2 linked regions of the Oryzias latipes genome follow. The protein of the gene in region 1 binds, or shares a complex with, the protein of each later gene. Links are inferred from orthologs where the notes say so. Each region holds a gene or a part of one and is shown on either strand. Other genes may lie near its edges.

Evidence for each region.
Region 2: synrg (region 1) and aftiphilin share a complex: the UniProt entries of both Homo sapiens proteins name them as parts of the aftiphilin/p200/gamma-synergin complex. The link is inferred for Oryzias latipes from reciprocal best matches to the Homo sapiens genes SYNRG and AFTPH.

What each region holds. Positions count from the first base shown.
Region 1 is NC_019871.2:10,180,791-10,184,600, reverse strand, and holds part of synrg (synergin gamma), read left to right. Parts: intron 1-1,278; coding exon 1,279-1,809; intron 1,810-2,855; coding exon 2,856-3,019; intron 3,020-3,118; coding exon 3,119-3,172; intron 3,173-3,506; coding exon 3,507-3,603; intron 3,604-3,810. UniProt on the Homo sapiens protein: Plays a role in endocytosis and/or membrane trafficking at the trans-Golgi network (TGN). May act by linking the adapter protein complex AP-1 to other proteins. Component of clathrin-coated vesicles.
Region 2 is NC_019859.2:574,107-578,479, forward strand, and holds the start of aftiphilin, read left to right. Parts: upstream 1-1,399; 5' UTR 1,400-1,682; coding exon 1,683-1,797; intron 1,798-1,814; exon of another isoform or gene 1,815-2,145; intron 2,146-3,271; coding exon 3,272-4,373. UniProt on the Homo sapiens protein: Component of clathrin-coated vesicles.

The sequences.
Region 1 (3,810 bases):
GTTTATTTGTCAAAAATCAACTGTTTTCCTGCAAAACCTTAAGAAAAAAAATATTTACAGTGAAAAGGGTCCATTTTATAAGAGTTTATTTTATGCATGGGTGGATCGTTTTTAGCGTGGCTTTGAAGTGTAAAACATTTCTCAAGGTGGCGTCATTTCCAAATGATTATGAAATCATACAGTTTAATGATGGCTACAGTCAGTTCAGACGTTCCTTTAAAGACCCACTCTGATGAAAATCTGTGTTTTTAACGTTTTTCTGATGATGAGGACATGTCGTAGGAAAATTATGTTTAAAATTGCATTTCTGAGTATTTTTTTATTCAAATTGTTGGGAACCTGGCACCGTTCAAAAGAGCACATTTGGGACATTGAAAAAAATGCTGGGTGGGCCACGGTGCGAGCTCTTGGCAAAGTGGACAGTAAGGCGTGGCGGGGCGGGGCGGAGTTGTTCTGCAGAATTCCTAATGTACTACAGCCGCTCTGCAGAAACTGTCCCAGAAAATGACAGTTTTTTAAAATTTTGCCTAAGAACTGCATAATTAAAGACCAATGGTCAACAGTTTGACATTAGACGGGAGACAGTAGGGTCTTAAAGTGTATACACTTTAGGAATGGCACATTTTTACAAGAGAAACTTTCTGTACTTTTTTTCTGGCTTTCAAATCAACATTGTGGTTCCATTGTAAACTAGGGCTGGGTATCACCAATAATTTCCAGTCTATTTGATTTGATTTTGAATTTATACCTGTGTAAACTACACATGGTTTACACATTTAGACATAGTTGTATAGAAATATAATAATAGTTAAGGGTGTAACTGATCAGAAACTCACGGTTCGGGTCGTGCCACGCTTTTAGAGTCACGGTTCGGATCATTTTTTTGGATCGGTAAAATGGAAAATAAAGACAGGAAAAAAGCAACCAAAAAAATTCAAAGAGAATTTATCATACACAAAATTAAACCTATACAGTTTAAAATGGATGTGGACCCTCGTAAAGCTCCAAAAATATAGTATAATTTCCTTCTACACTAAACGTGTTTGGAAGGTTGAAAACATCCGTCATTTTGAGAATTCTGAAAGTTTAAGAACAGATTGAAATAAAAAAGCTGCCTGCTTTAATTAAAGTAAGACAAATCCACACAATAACAATTTCTAAAACAATGCAACAACAAAAAAATACTTTTAAAATCCTTTGATCTGCAGACAAATTCCTTCTACAGCAGCGTCTGATCTACTGCTAGGAACCACTCGTATGTCTGTGTTGTCATTACAGAAGGAGACGACATGAAATTTGACCCTTTCGGGACGTCCGCCCTCAGCTCCTTGGCTAGCTATGACTGGTCAGACCGGGAGGAAACTCTGCCAGGTGAGGTCAGGAAGCGGCAGGGCGTGGAGGGAGGTTCCCTTCCATCATTAATCCCATCCCAGAGGAAGCAGCTGAGCTTCGGTAGCACTGAAAACATCACGAGCTGCTCCACAGCAAGGGCCACCGCAGAGGATGGCGCATCTGAAGCAAACAAGTTTGAGGCCTTTGCCGACTTCAGCTCCAACCAAGGCAGAGCTGATGACGAGGACGACTTCGGAGACTTTGCGAGCACCGTTTCCGAAAACTCTCACTCCACTGCCGTGGAGGCCAGCTCTGAGGGGAAACAAGGCGAGCCCCCAGACGAGTTTGGCGCCTTCCAAGGGGACAAGCCCAAGTTTGAAAAGTCAGACTTCCTTAAAGCCAGCGCTCAGGCCAAAGTCAAGTCCAGCGAGGAGATGATCAAGAATGAACTGGCAACCTTTGACCTCTCAGTTCAAGGTAAGTCCTCTTGTGTCCTAACTTTACTGCATTTCTCCACACAGATCCGTCAACAATAAAATAAAATAAATTGTGATTATTGTTTTTCAAACATACCCAGTCTGAGTTAAAAAGCAAAGCAAGATGTTTGTTATTTTTTTCTTTTGTTGAAACATCAACATTTGAATCCAACCAAACTGGAGTAATTATTAAGAAGTTCTAAGAAAATATCCATGGTCTGGTGTTGATGCAGTGAGCTGGTACTGTGAAATGCTTAAGCAGACATGACTTCCTGTATTTTGTGACAGTGAGGCTTTGGGGTGAATCTAGATTACATCTTTTCTCCTAAAACCTGTCATGTTATCCAGGTATGAGCTCTCCAGAAACTAAAAGCCCTTGAACTCAGGAAGGAATGAAAGACGTGCCGCTCCATCACCACATTGCCATCAGATATGCAGTAAAGCTGTTAGGCATTAGATGGTAGCATTGCAAAGACATTCCAGCTTTCTAATGGCAATGACTGCTGAGACGGATTAATGGCCTCCAACAAAATCCACCTGCAGAAATGAACTGTATCCACTTTGGTGCTGCTCGCTCCTCTGTTCCGTCTAATAAATATTTCCTTATCTGTGACAAGAACGGATTCATTTGTTGCTGCTGGGTTTAATTACTGTGGCGAGCAGACTGTCTCTGGCTGCAGAGCTGTAATCTTATCACGGTTCGGCTTCATGCTGGTTTGAGTGGCGACACATGGCTCCAAAGGTGGCGGATTACCTGTTTCTGGATGATTCTTCCTCACATCAGTTCACGCTTAACATGTTTGTGTTCGTTCTCAAAATACTGATGAATTATTCATACATTTCAGTCGTATTTGAGCCTCTGATTTGAACCTTATTGCTTTTTATTGAACCAAAGCATTTACCTGTTCTGCACTGTCTGAGAGTAATGGCTGCAATAAAAATGGAAAAAAAAAAAAAGTGATGACTGCGAATGCACAGGTACATTTCTCAGAGTGTCCTCGCAGTGAGTGAATATATTGTCCGTGTCTCCTTGGTTTTTTCCCTTAGGCTCCCACAAACGCAGTCACAGTTTAGGCGAGAGGGAAATTGGCCGATCGCCGCCGTCTCCAGCTCCCGAGCAGCATTTCAGAGACAGATCCAACACGCTAAGCGAAAAACCAGCCCTGCCGGTCATCTGGGACAAGTACAAAAACCTGACCGGAGAGGTGGAGGTGAGGAAAACCGCCACAGTTCGCTGCTGGCGTCAGTGACCCGACATCTATGTGTCATAAAAGTTTGTCGTTTCATATTTTGTCACTTTGTTGCTGCAGGAGAGCGAGCGCTATGCTTATGAGTGGCAAAGGTGTCTGGAAAGTGCTCTGGAGGTTTGTGTTAGTCCAATTGATCTCTAAAACTGCAAAAAATAAATGTGGATTTATTGGTTGCAACAACAGAGCGAGTAGTTTGAATTTCACATCACTTTCTTTTAATAGAAAACACATTTTAAAAATATTTATTTTAGTCCAAACAGTAAAGAGATGCTCTAAAAGGCTTTGTAGGGGAAGAAAAATACTAAAATACATAAAATTTGTATCTGTAAAAATGTTTCAGGCATACCTTGAAACACTGATGGGCTGTTTTGTTGTAACATTTATCAAGATAATAGTGTAATACAGCATTTTTGACTCTACGATGGTTTTTGTGTCTGTTCATATTAAGGTTATCACCAAAGCCAACAACACCCTGAACAGCATCAGCAGCTCTGCTGTCTGCACAGAGGTCATCCAGTCTGCTCAGGGCATGGAGTATCTGCTGGGTGAGGAAGAGCTCACACAGCACACACAGAGCTCGCACTCTCACAAAAATCAAACCCATATGAATTAGGCATCAAGGAAAGAGAGAAAAATGTACAAACTGCATTTTGTTTCTGCTAAAGACCCACTCCGCTCATCTTTTGATCTAAAAATGTTCCCAGTGGTCTTTTGGTTATGGTTATGCCGTTTTTAGACAAAATCAAAAAACG
Region 2 (4,373 bases), on another chromosome or scaffold:
GGACTAAGGGGTTATTGTGAGTGGACGCGCTCAGGACTAAGGGGTTATTGTGAGTGGACGCCCTCAGGCCTAAGGGGTTATTGTGAGTGGACGCGCTCAGGACTAAGGGGTTATTGTGAGTGGACGCGCTCAGGACTAAGGGGTTATTGTGAGTGGACGCGCTCAGGACTAAGGGGTTATTGTGTGTGGACGCCCTCAGGCCTAAGGGGTTATTGTGAGTGGACGCGCACAGGCCTAAAGGGTTATTGTGAGTGGATGCGCTCAGGACTAAGGGGTTATTGTGTGTGGACGCGCTCAGGCCTAAGGGGTTATTATGAGTGGACGCCCTCAGGCCTAAGGGGTTATTGTGAGTGGACGCCCTCAGGCCTAAGGGGTTATTGTGAGTGGACGCGCTCAGGCCTAAGGGGTTATTGTGAGTGGACGCGCTCAGGCCTAAGGGGTTATTGTGTCAGGACGCGCTCAGGCCTAAGGGGTTATTGTGAGTGGACGCGCTCAGGCCTAAGGGGTTATTGTGTCAGGACGCGCTCAGGCCTAAGGGGTTATTGTGTCAGGACGCCCTTAGGCCTAAGGGGTTATTGTGAGTGGACGCGCTCAGGCCGAAGGGGTTATTGTGAGTGGACGCGCTCAGGACTAAGGGGTTATTGTGTCAGGATGCGCTCAGGCCTAAGGGGTTATTGTGAGTGGACGCGCTCAGGCCTAAGGGGTTATTGTGTCAGGACGCGCTCAGGCCTAAGGGGTTATTGTGAGTGGACGCCCTCAGGCCTAAGTGGTTATTGTGAGTGGACGCGCTCAGGCCTAAGGGGTTATTGTGAGTGGACGCGCTCAGGCCTAAGGGGTTATTGTGAGTGGACGCCCTCAGGCCTAAGGGGTTATTGTGAGTGGACGCGCTCAGGCCTAAGGGGTTATTGTGTGTGGACGCGCTCAGGCCTAAGGGGTTATTGTGAGTGGACGCCCTCAGGACTAAGGGTTTATTGTGAGTGGACGCGCTCAGGCCTAAGGGGTTATTGTGAGTGGACGCCCTCAGGCCTAAGGGGTTATTGTGAGTGGACGCGCTCAGGCCTAAGGGGTTATTGTGTGTGGACGCCCTCAGGCCTTAGGGGTTATTGTGAGTGGAAGCGCTCAGGGCTAAGGGGTTATTGTGTGCGGACGCCCTCAGGCCTAAGGGGTTATTGTGAGTGGACGCGCTCAGGCCTAAGGGGTTATTGTGAGTGGACGCGCTCAGGACTAAGGGGTTATTGTGAGTGGACGCGCTCAGGCCTAAGGGGTTATTGTGTCAGGACGCGCTCAGGCCTAAGGGGTTATTGTGAGTGGATTAGTGATGAGTTTTAGTGTCTGTGGTTAAAAGTCGAGTCTGAAGTTCAGATGAAGTTCATCTTCATAAAGCTCTGCTCTTCCTCCAAATCCCATCAACCACCGCTTTGCGGGTTTTCATGGACCTGACCTGGGCGGGTCTGACCACAGACGTGTGTGTATGCAGGGCGCTCGTGCTCGCTGACCTCAGGGTTGTCTGACCCGCGGCCGCAGCTTAATGAAGGACCGCCCCTGTGAAGGGTCCACGGAACCACTGGGAGAACCCCGGGAACCCGGAAACTTTCTCTAACTAAGCCAGGTTGCGCTCCGCCACTGAAAGTCACCTGTTTCACCTGGTCAGTATGAGCACGTAGATTGCGCCGGCGCGGTGCATGCTGGGAGACACGGAATCAGGGCAGCAGCGGCGGACTGAAGTGAACCTCCAGCGGGCTCGACCCCGAGGACGGACCCGGAGGAGTCATGAAGCTGACCGGCCAGCGTGTCACGGTGAGTGCCGCGCGCGCTCTACGTCATCCGGGTGCCTGCCATGCACGAGCGGGCTACGGCTAGCAGGAGGAAGCCGCGCGCTGCGCAGCGGTCTCCGGTAACGGAGCAAACTGCGTCAACCTGCGTCGTTTTCCTTCTGGACGTTACCGGATCGATGCGTTTCTCCTTCACGCGGGGATCTACCCGGATGTGTCCCCCCAGTTCCACAGGTTAAACTCTGACTACACATGCTAATGTGGCTAAGCTAAGCTAGCTGCTGTGTGTCGGAGCGCAGAGGACTGGCTCGAACCTTGAACCCGAACCCGTCCTTCTGTCGGTGCCGATGATCTGCGTGGAGAGGCGCGTCAGGTAACAGCACACCTGTGTCCGTGTATTTTTGGTGACGTGTGTGGTGTCTGCTGGACGGTCGGCAGCTCGGTAACCTTAGACCTAGCAGCGTTTGTTAGCCACTGACGTCAACAGGTGAGAAGACGCGTCAGATGCGATCTGAAGGTGAGCTCGTGCTTCAAGCAGCTGTTAGTGGGCGGGAAAAGCACAGTTTAAAGCTAATAAAAGTGTTTACAAATAAAGCGAAACAGCTGCTGTTGTGCTAGCTCTGCAAGTCTCGCGATAGGTTAGCTGGTCTCAGACCGACAGGTGTGATGTTCTCAGGTGAGCTTCCTGCTCAGTACCGTCCTGACAGACTAACAGCCCAAATAAATCTTCAGCGAGTCACTTTAAACGAAAAGTAAAACCGGAAATGAGCAAGTAAACAAACAGGAAGTCGTTTCCATCAGCTGCTGCATGTCTTATTTTGTAGATATTTAAATAATAGACAGGATCCGGATCTAAAGTTGATTTTTCTGATTATCTGGTGTCAAATCAGACCAGGAAGCTGAAGAGGTTCTGCAGAGTTCTGGTTGAGCAGGTTCTGGTGAGGTTGTGCTTTTCTCCCACCATGGAGAACATTTACATTTATGTGACATAAAGTATTTCCGTAAACCCACAAACTACCCCCCCCCCCCCCCCCCCCATGTGGTTTTCCCCAGACGGTTCATAAGAAGTCCAACCTGGTTTGAGCTGACAGGTGTTCAGGCTGGAGCGCTGGCTCCTCCCACTGCACACAGACTAGTTTCCTCTCTTAGGTAGGATGGGGGTGTGCCCTAACCGGTTAGTTTGGTTCTAGCAGAACCCAACCTGGTGTCATGAAGGACAAACAAAATCAATCAGACCATCGGAGGATTACAGTCCAGGTGGTTCTGGTTTACTCGGCCCAAACCCAATTTAATGAATTATTAAATACGCCTGCACACCGCACTTCATCTAGTCTGGTCCTGGTCTTGGTCTGGTTCTAGTCTGGTCCTGGTCTGGTTCTAGTCTGGTCCTGGTCCTGGTCTTGGTCTGGTCATGGCCTGGCCTGACCAATCACAGCACAGCTTCTGTGATTGGCTCACATAACCAGGCGCTGGTGCTCATGCCCCGCCCTCTGTTTCAGGTGTAGCCAGGAGGACGTCCCGCGGCGTCATGGAGCCAGATGTGATCCGCATGTACTCGTCGTCCCCTCCCCCGATGGAGGACGGTGCAGAGGAGGACGAGGACGAGTTCGGAGACTTCGGGACCTTTTCTGGGGTCCCCGGCAGCATCAGCTTCTCTGAGCTCGACACCCCCACGACCTTCAACCAGACCCAGGCCCTGACCGCTACCTCACCCCCGGAGCTCCTGGCCAGCAGGGGGCTGGGCCCCGAGCTGTCCAGGGTGAATGGTGTGGTTCTGGGGGGCGAGCCCGCCAATAGGGCGGAGGTGACGAAGGTGATTTGCTCACTGGACTGCTCCGTGAAGACCGACTGCAACGGCAGGGACTCGGGGGCGATGACCAATGGGTTTGAGAGCCTCAGCGTTCAGGGATCCCCTCCCTCCAGAAATGCTGTCCCTTCTTCTGGGGGGGGCCTGCCCCTGGACGACACGGGGAGCCCCCCCGCCAGTAGTCCTGAAAACGACTTTGCAGATTTTGCGGCGTTTTCTGAAGGGCTCCCAATCCAGACAGAGGACAGCCCTGTTGGGGGGCATCTGCAGGCGGGGGCAGCCTGTCGGAACTGTCAAAATGATCTGGGGGGGGCACCAGGGGACACAATCAGGGACACGAACGGGACCGGATCAGAGGCAGAACTGGAGCAAAGCTGTCCTGCTGAGGCCCCTCCCTCGCCCTCTCAGGAGGTCCCCCTCTCCAGGGAGGCCGAGGCCCCGCCAGCTGTGAATGGGCTGGACGGGGCTGAAGGGGGGCAGGATCAACCGGAGGCCCGGGTGTCCCCGGATGAGACGGAGACGTCCTTGGGCCGGCAGCTGTCCACAAACGACCTGGAGGAGTACGGCGACATGAGCCCCACCTGCTCGGCCCCCTCCCCGCCCATCCAGAGCGGCACCCCCACCGACAGCAGCCCGCTTGGGGAGGGCGACGAGGACTTCGGGGACTTTGGCGAGCCCGCCTCCTTCTGCGCTCAGGGCTTTGCAGAGGTTGGGCCGCCGGACGCCGAGCAGGACGCAGAGCAGGACGCCGACGACTTCGGCGACTTCAACTCCCCCAAGTGTCGGGGCCCCGA